Linked DNA regions of Drosophila melanogaster. The protein of the gene in region 2 interacts with the protein of the main gene of each other region in a pairwise test. Each region holds a gene or a part of one and is shown on either strand. Other genes may lie near its edges.

What was found.
Region 1: the proteins of CG34354 (region 2) and Tsp42Ea interact in a two-hybrid assay, tested with the Drosophila melanogaster proteins (one large-scale study listed by BioGRID).

Annotation. Positions count from the first base shown.
Region 1 is NT_033778.4:6,990,809-6,995,766, reverse strand, and holds the start of Tsp42Ea (tetraspanin 42Ea), read right to left. Parts: upstream 3,092-4,958; 5' UTR 2,990-3,091; exon of another isoform or gene 2,707-2,989; intron 2,647-2,706; exon of another isoform or gene 2,640-2,646; coding exon of another isoform or gene 1,920-2,639; exon of another isoform or gene 1,461-1,919; intron 1,395-1,460; 5' UTR 1,343-1,394; coding exon 1,283-1,342; intron 1-1,282. Other genes in the region: CG30159 (uncharacterized protein), read right to left, coding at 1,920-2,639.
Region 2 is NT_033777.3:28,144,903-28,149,904, reverse strand, and holds the start of CG34354 (uncharacterized protein), read right to left. Parts: upstream 3,026-5,002; 5' UTR 2,978-3,025; exon of another isoform or gene 2,937-2,977; intron 2,406-2,936; 5' UTR 1,934-2,405; coding exon 1,654-1,933; intron 1-1,653.

The DNA.
Region 1 (4,958 bases), on a different chromosome or scaffold from region 2:
GTGTAGATGATATTTCGTTGTTTCCGAGTTTTGGCTCGTCGTCTCACAATGGGAGCAAGTTCACATTAAATTAAGTCAACTATTTTTGGGTGAGACCCCCTTCCCCCCCCCCCCCCCCCTCTTGAACCATTACACAACTTTCCACTGAAGTGGCGGCAGACTTTACACACAGACAAAATATTTGTATGTTTCCATGTTGGTTCTTAAGTTAATTGCAGCTACTTTAAATTATCAAAAAGGTTGGAGAACTGCGGATTGGAACTCTTGAACAAATCAAATGACCTATTTCAAGTAGATAGGTCATCCATCTCGTTTACCGATTTCCCATCAACAAAAAATGGTTTTGTTTTGTAAATTTTCTATATCCGTATACTGCATACGATTGAAGAATTAGCGCCGTGTGCTGATGTTTTTCCGCCCGTAGTGAATGACATCCATGTTTGCGTGACGCGAATAATGCGCTGGTACTCCGACGCAGTCAGATTTCCCACCAGCAGCAAGTCAGGGTCCCAGCCCCAAACTGGTTGGACGAAGTACAGTTCCACCTGGCGGTGCAGTGACTTTGGGGCAGTGAGTTAGAAGTTGCAAAACCATATCGAAATGCCACCGTTGCTGGCGTTTCAATGATTGTTTGGTTGCCATTTGGAACCAGTTAACCTCGGACTGACTCCGACTAATGGGATGCATGTTTGTGGATGTGGGGCTCGGTTGTGGGGACCGAAACAACACAAACTGGTTTTGGGACTCCAAAGTAAACAAAAGTGTACGTAGTGTACACAAAATTATACAGAATTTTTCGGATACCGCTACGTCACAAACGTAGCCCAATTTTAATAACTGGTTTTGGAATACTGATGATGATCTCAAGCTCTGCCCCCACTTTGCACGTACAGTGCGTTTCGTAACCGGAAAGTGATAGTGCTGACCGGAAAAGAGACACCATAAATGCTATAATAGATCCTACTTTAAGGGTCCTTAATAAACATTAATTGAGATATGTTTAATTTCATGATATGTAAATATGAAAGCCGACCTAAAGAACACAAAAATACAAAAATGCATTTAACGAGAGTGCCTTCTGTGGCTTTAAAATGTACTCATGCTCACCACTTTTGTGGGCCTCGACTTTCTCAGCCTTTCAATACTGAAAACACCAATTTTGGGAAAACCAGTTTATTCCGCACGAAAGTTATGATCTCACTGCCAGCCTAAAAGGCTGAGAAGTCGATCTAAGCTTGGCCGCTCGAAATTATGTAATCTTAAATGTATCTATGCTACTCACCGAACAGAGCAAATTAAATATAAATAGGATATATTTAACCATGGAGATTCCGCAGCTCATTTTGCCTGAGTTTTGCCAGAGATTGCTGGTGGAGATGGATGAAGAACTGCAACTGATCGTTCGGGAGACGAAAAAAATGGAATGGAATTAAGAAATTCAGATACAAGCGTGAAAAGTTAGGTATTTCGGCATTTTATTTGGGAAACACGCACACGTACACACACAGGCACACGCACTGATGTCATCCGTGGTAAAAACATTTCGCTTATTTGAATATTTAAAAAATGCTGACGTTCTTGGCTCTACTGGGTGTGGAAATTAGCACACGATCACGTACCGCCTGGGCATCGAAAGTCGCGTTGGGCAAGTCGCGCTAGCTATTCCCCTTACTAATAAGCTTTTGAGACTGACTTGTGTACTTGTGCTCGAGGGTTTGTAAACAAATGCTGTCTTATATCGTATATGATATTTGCCAATCGTATAACAATAGATAGCAAGCAACACTAAGACACAAATGCACAAGCTAGTAAACAGGCATAATAAAAATATAGAGAGTAGCTGGCCATGGAACTAAGTTAATGGTGGCGAGCTAGGTAGCCCTGTAAATAGCATCGAGGCAGGAACGGGGAGATCGCAATCAGCGCACTAGCTCCGGCAGCAGCTTCTCCTTGGGCAACCAGCGCTGCCTCAGTTCGTTGTAGCGGCGCCAGATGTAGGGATAGCCGGCGGCCCAGGAGAGCCAGGCCTCCTTTTCCGCTGTGGTCTGCTCCACCTTCTTCAGATGCTGGTAGTACTTCCCGTTCTTCTTAACCGCGGCGGCGGCATCCTGCACGAATCGGGCGAAGCGGAGCTTGAGCAGGGTCTCCGAGACGTCCAGCAGGCGGTTGCCCCTCGGCGGATGGACCAGGCACAGCTGGCAGACAACAAAGTCCTGTCCCTTGGCGGATTTAAGGGGCAGAAAGGTGGCCTCGCGCCCAATGAGACACTGCTGCAGCCAGGAGTAGCCGTTGGCATTGACGCGCACGCCCGGCAGTTTGACGGGCAGCAGGCGTTTGCTGCTAGTGAAGATCGGGAAAAGCGGCCGGTGCTGGATCATCAGCAGGGTGTCCTGCTCCTGCTGCTTGACCCCGGCGATCTTGCCCGTGTGCATGACGCGCTCGTTGATCAGGCGCTCCGGGATGTGCGAGGGCTGCTTAAACTGGCGCACCAGGTAGGCCGGCTTCCGTTTGGCATAGGCCACGGCCAGCATGATGGCCGAGGTGCCATAGATGGCCAGCTCACTGCCGCGCGTATCCCGCTCCAGGAAGTTACATAAGTCCTGGTACTTGGCCACCGCAAAATCCTTGGCCGCCTCCATTGGATAACTGGAAAGTGGTCGCTGGTTAGGCTTTTTCGGGTTGGGTGCCGCCACTGGCAGGTCTCACTTTACCACTTGGAGCGTTATGTCGTTTCGCTGGCCTAATCTATATGTAAAACCCAACTAATGGCTAATTTTGTCGCTGATTCCGCTTTTCTTGGCTGCAATTCTGTTTTGCTACTGACCAGACTTTGACATTTGCCTCACTGGAGTGCGAGCAGGACAACTAGTGTGCCGGTTGGGATCGCTGTTTCGGCACCTTACAACACTGCCTGCTACGACACTGTCGCTCTCGCCCTCTCTCACACACACAAGCACACGGAATTTGAAAACAAAACCCACACACACACCTTGAGTTTTCCGCCTTTTGAATGATTTACAGAATGATTTTACGCGCGCTCCGCTTTTCGAACCGTTCGTGAGCAGTTGACAATGCTAACTGAACTAAACTGATCGGTCAAAAGCTGCGCCAAGCAGCCTCAACCTGTTGCGTCGCGCACACTCACACGAGCATAATTCGTTTTGTTTTGGTTTGTTTCGTCACCCCCTCCCAACGGTAATTACTGTAACTTGTTTTTCCGCTCTCTGTTACCAATCGCGTTTGTTTATTTATGCAAATTTGAAATGTTTCGGGAATTACGTACATATTTGTTTAACTTTTACTACCAATAAATGTTTTATTTATGCAAATGCACTATTGCCTGGCCAATAGGAAAATTAAGAACAGAAAAAAGGGAGCAAAAACCTCACGTTGAAGATATGTATATGGAAATTATAATTTTGTTTCGAACAGTTTTTATAAGATAAAGCTGCCTCAAAAACAGGAAATTGTAGGATAAGATTGTTTGTACATACGTATCTCGGTATATAAAAATACAGGTATTCATAAGGAAAATCTCACATGAACATTGATTTGAATTGATCTTCTAGAATTTCGAGTTAATGGAAAAATGGCTCGAAACCGCAAAACTTTCGATGCGATTTCCACTGGCGGACGTGTTTTGCGGTTTTCGGCTCGTCGTGGGCGGATTTTCCTCGAAAGTGGCCTAAAGCCAAAGCCAACCAGTTTGGGCCGATGTGCAGGTCTCGTTAGCCAGCCTACTATGGCTTCGGGCATGGCTTCCGTTTTTAATTACCAGACAGAAGGGCGTTGTAATTGTGTTTAGCTTTTCCTTGACACACACTGGCAACAACAGTAACAACAACAACATCATAAACTGGTTTACAGCTTACGTAATCCAATGAAAACGTGGCTTGGAAGCATTATTTTCGGATTTCGGTGGGTTGGGAAGGGGTGAGGGGAGCGCCAACTGTCGCGCCCGCTGACATTCCCTAATTAACAAGTGTGCTCCGCACAATTAACCTCACGTTGTTCCGTATTTAAATGTATTTCCACAACGCTCGGCACACAAAGAGAAATAGAATTTCGTATCTCCATTGATCGAAATCGCACTATCTAAATGAAACTCGTACTGGGATGAGTCATTGCCCCTAAAGATGGAAAATTAAGTGTATCTAATAGATACAAGCGCTGAAGATCATCTCGATGGATTGCCCACATTTACTAAAGATTAAAATATTAAAGCAATGTAACAATTGGCACGAACAAATCAAGATTTTTTGCAGCTATTTCTGTTTCAGCAATTTTGAATGCAACACGAATTCTTAGGAATAAAATATAACTCATACGGATTTTCCCAAATGGAAAAGCCATACATACAATATGATTACTAAGAATATACACAATTTGAAATTAAAATGATCAATATTCATATTATTTGGAATATGATCATATTGCCCCCTTTTTCCTACAGTGCTGTCTTCCCAATTATTGTCAAAATAGAATCAATTATGAATCATTTGCTTGCACTTCTGGTTATCTTCCTCGAGCAAATACTTTCTGTAAATGTCGAATTAGCGTCAAATGAATGACATAAGTGAGATTGCCTTCCAAGGGGAGGGACACTCGCTGGCGACGAAAAGCCCGTGGTCGAGATTGAGATCTGCATGCGTCACACTCGAGCAATTTCGAAAATGCACTAATGCCGCGGAAAAACCTCAAGCTGCTTCCCATGGGTGCGGGGTATCAAATTAGCATGTACACAGAAAGTAAAACTACTGTGAAATCAATCTCACTCAAACAAAAGATCATTCTCAGCGTTTTCAGTCAAAATTCCTTTCGCACATTATTGAAATATTTTTTTCTGTCAGTATACTCAACTTGCAGCTGACCAAACAGAATGTATCATTTTTCTCAGACCTACAGTATTGAGATATTAATACAATGAAATTCGTCATAAAAGTGGTTGAATGAATCCG
Region 2 (5,002 bases):
TCATTACAGCCCAAAGTCAGGCCGGCTGGTTTGCCTGGCCGCTTTTCCTCGTTTCATTTTCATGCAGCTTCCTGTGCCGTTGTTTCCGGTTTTATGCCTGCCAGTGTCTATTTGTGTATAGTTTTTGCCATTAGCAACCGTTGTCGGTTTGAGGGACTTAGGGGTGTTGTTGGGGCCGGGGCTGGTAGAGCCAACAAATTGGAGAATAGTCCCAGTTTCTGTCTCTATCGCTGCTGCCTTTGTTTCCAAGTTTCGGCTTAAGTTGTTTTTAAGTTGTAAATCTCTACGGGCATGCAATTTCCCCTGCCTGCCCAAGCTGTATCAAATTTTTCATTTGTGGTTAAAAATATGAAAATTGTAACTGATATTTATGCTTGTAATGCCTACGCTTGACATTTTCAGCCCAGAGGGGTGGTGTCCACAATAATTCATCTCTGAAATGCGTGTTCGAGTTTGTTATTTTTCGGATTACGTGTGCGAATTTGGCCCCTTGGAATTTTACTCATTTAAAACTGCCCGAAAGTGATACGTGTGCTCTATTGGTATTTTCGAAATCTGCCTCCTTGACTTCCGACTGACTGGGCCACGTTTAATTGAATGTGTTGCCAGTATGATTTTGGCCATCTGACGCATACAAAATTTCTATAAATATGTACGTTATCGTGCCCTGATATCGATCGCCTGGGGTGTTTTTTGGTTTGAATTGTAATTGTTCAGACATTGTTGTGAATACGTAAGCTGTTGTTATTTCTCTAGAGGTTGTTGTTAACTGAGCTTTTGCTTGAAGTTTTTGCTGCACTTGAATTCTAGTTTATTTTAAAGTTTCGCATTTTATTATTATATATAATATGTAGCATATTGTGTTATTTTGCATACTCTAATTTATTGCTCTTTAAGATAAATGCACAAATTTGACAAATAGAACACATTTTAGCACAAACAGCATTTCATTAGGATACAACTAATAGGATAAATTATTTTTTGCCATGGCCGTGTTTGAATGATTTGCTAACTTTTTAAGCCTGCACAAATCCTTGGCTGAAAATGAAATGCAATTATATCGCAAAATAAAATTCATTCAATTAAATCCTAACTGAAGCCCAATCTGAATACGTTTAGAATTGCAAATGACTATGATGGCGTTTTTGTTTTTTTTTTTGTTGAGAATAATACTTGATTTATTGGTCTTTACATGATATTAAACGGTTTGCATTTCCCAGAGTTTTCATATAGACATTTCAATAAATTAGGCAAAAATATTTGTCAATTTTCATAGATTTGCCTTCATTCCCAATATCAGAAAGAAAATTGGGTTATTTGGTTGCAGCCCAGTCCGTTATGATGCATTTAATTAAGTTTTGATATTGCAAATAAACACAAGTTTAGTCGCTGAATGAAATCGTTGTCTATTGAAAATTTATTCCAGTTGTTGATGCGAATAGTACCCCCCAGAACAAAACGCAGATCGTTGTCTGCCGCATTCGAAACACGTCTCAGGGGCAAAGTGGCAGAGACATTTCTCAATTTATGCAACACCTTTTGCCGGTGGAAATTGCGCCGAAACCGAAATCGAAAACGAAACCGAGACCAAGACCGAGAACCGAAACGGGACGAAAAGGACATTCACCCCGGGAAACTCGCTTTTCCACTCACCTGGCTTGGAGTTGTTGCCCACGAGCTGCTGCTGCTGCTGCTGTTGCTGTTGCGACATTTGCTGTTGCTGTTGCTGCTGCGAGTGCTGCTGTTGGCCATTGTGCTGCAAATGAGCAGCTGTCACCGACTGCTGCTGCTGCTGGGCGGCTGCTGCGGCCGCTGCAGCGGGATGGATGGCCAACAGCTTCGTTTCCGGCGGCTTGTGCGGACCCATTGTGATCTGCGGGGCACCCATGGCTATGGTCGGTGCTGGCATCATCAGGGTCGACATGGTCAGCATAATTTGCGAGTGAATTTTGGTCGCTGGACTCGGGAAGCGAAGCTGGGTTGGCTGGTGATGCAGTTGCTCTGGCTGGGAGTCTTTGTCTTTATTGATTTGCTGCTGACTCCTCCGCAGGATCTGAACTCGGTGCCAAAGGTCGTGCGTTAGCCTTTGTCGCCAGCTTTCTCTGGCTCTCGTCGCTGCTTTCTACTTTCTATGTGTGCGGAGTGCAAACTTATGAAATATGCTCTCGCCTTGCTTCGCCTCTATGTATTTTCACTTTTCGTGCTGGCTGGTTACTCTATTTATGTACTACATATATGTATATATATATATATCGACGTAAGTATGGGGGCATGTGGAAAATATGTAAGTATATTTTTTTCGCCTTTCTTTTATGTTTCGCTTATGTGTTTGTTCAACCGGAAATACACGAACTCAAGCGCACTTGGCTTGTAATATCGTTTCAGGGATTTCCTTCGCCTTCTGCCTGCCAGTAATCGCAAATTATTCTTTCTTTTCTGTTGTGTCTGCTGGCAGCGGAAATTATAAATATTCCTGTCATGCGAGTAGTACTACGAGTTCAGTTCTCTGCCTGCCAGACGTCTTCTGTTTTAATATCAATGTCTGGTATGTAAAATGTCAGGCCAAAAAAGAAAACGAAAATATGAAAAAAAAAAAAAAAATGAAAATATGTGAGAAAATAACAGGGGAAAATGCCAAACAAAAAAGTGAAGCCCTGCTCAGCCGGTTCAAAGTCGCTGGGAAAGTTTCAAGTAGCTGGCTGCAATGGCAATTATTATTTTGCCGGCAGCCTCTGAGTTTTTGTCGCGCGCGAATTTGCTGGCAACTTTAGAAGTCACTGACTCCAAGTGCGTGATAAGACCAGCTTAATAAATGTCGTGTATAGGTTAAGATTGAGTGATCTTTAAAAAATAATAGGTTCTAGCCCAAAGCCCAGAATAATTTGCCACTACGGCAAGGCAAGGTGTGAAGTCTATGTTTCGAACTACGCACGAACCAGGCCGACGTGATCAATCGCACACACAGGATATAATTTACAGGATATACAAAGCGTTCGGTATACGTTCGTACTAGACCGCTGGGCGACGCTTTTCTTACTGAACGCCAGGAGCACACGCATTGGCCAAAATTCGGAGGCGCTGCTGCCACTGCAACGACGGCAGAAAGGCTGCCGATTTTCCCGCTGTCGCTGCTGCTGTGAAAATCGCTGTCGCCGCTGCTGCTGCTGCCTCTGCCGTCGATGACGACGACGGGATGCGTTTCCCTACATTTCTCTTCGGCGGCGAGGAGTTCGGTTAACGGCGGCACGAAGCTGGCTGCCATCGCAGCCATCGTTCATGAAATATTCACGAATGGCTCGCTCTCACTCGCGCCGCCTGCTCCTTGCTGAATCCTTGCTCTCCGGCCCTCTCTCCGTCCCTCTCGCCATCCCAACTGGCTCGTTTCCTCGCTCCAGGCGCCATTCACAAGTCGCAAGCCTCGTCCTTTCAGGTCCTTTCGGCTCCCGTCGCCACAGAGCGCAGAATCCGAGCAGCCGAGAGCACAGGCTTTTCGAAAGCGCCAGCCACATTTGAAATTGACTGCCAAGGCTTGTTTTCTGATTTATAATTTAAATAAAAATATAATGTTATATCTTTAAATTAAAATCGTAATATCTACATGTAAAAATTCAGTTTCCAATTTAGTCAGAGCTTTTATAATGATTTTCCGTACCACTTGTCGCTTTAAATAGAACCTTCAGAAATGTCCTTTTGCGCCTCGTCACTCGAAAATACCAGTATTTTTATGGCATGCCCTGAAAACTGTTATACGTTGCAGGACAAGGCAAATGTTAAGAACAGCCAGCTGATGTTAATATTTTCTATTCTTTTTCATCTGAATCCATCCTTGCGTCCAAGTGGTCATAAAATATTAACTTTTAAAACTAATCTAACAATATAATATCTAACTAGGATAAAGCAGCAATAGCTTTTCAACAATTGTAAGCACACTTATATGCTAAACACTGTGAAAAAGGGTCAGATAAAAGCAACAACCTTTGAAGTTATTATTACTTAGTTTCACTAATATGAAATGTTTTGTATAAGCTACATACCATTAATTGCATGAGAAGCTTTGCTTCTCCTGCTGCCAATTGCCTTGCGTTAATTGTAGCCCTGGAACTAAATCCAAACAGGACAACAAAAAGGATGCAATTTAAGGTGTATCTCCCTATTATTGCACTCTTTTCTCCTCGTTATTACTCCTCTTTTTGCGTTATTAACATACTTTCTCGTGTCGACAGCGGTGACAGGGACAGCGAGCGACAGGACGACGGTGTTCTGAGGTAATGTTGCAAAGAGCAGTGCTCGAAAAAGTGTCTGGGCTGGGGAGGAGTCGCCAGTGAAATGGGGAAATGTTGGTAAAATACATAATTACATGTAATTTACCATGCGACATTATCATTGTTCTGCTCGTATTTAGCATAGAATCAACGTCGCACGGCAGAGACGTCGAGTGTCCATAGAATAGCTCATGTAGCGGACAACGGGTCTTGAATGTACTCTCCCTGCTCACCAACTCACAGAAGTACTCGAAAAAAATGATTCAACTTTATATTTATTTAAAAAATAAATAAAATTCTAAGGATTCAGCTTAAAACGTTCAGTTTAAAACCAAAGTTACATATAATTCTAGGGATCTCAAGAGTAAACATAACGATACTTCTACAAAACATTTCGATTCAATTGTAAATCTATGTTTATATTTGTGAAGAAAATCCTGATTTTCTTTTAGTGTATATTGCATGTGCTTAAATGCAACAAAAACAGCAGCAACTTCACGTAATAACAAAAGTGAAGTAAACAATAAGAAGAGGCCGTTAGAGCGATGCAAAAGACGAGTTTCTTTCTTGTTTGGCCCACTCTTTCTGCATGTCCTTCTGCCGCTCTCGCCGATTCTATGCACTTGTGTGTGTGACAATTGCCCTTTGAATTTTTAAATCCCTTTAAATGAAAACAACAACTGGGATCCCCTGCCTTTTGGCCTTTTGTTCTTCGAGTTGCGCTTGTTAGGTAAATCAGC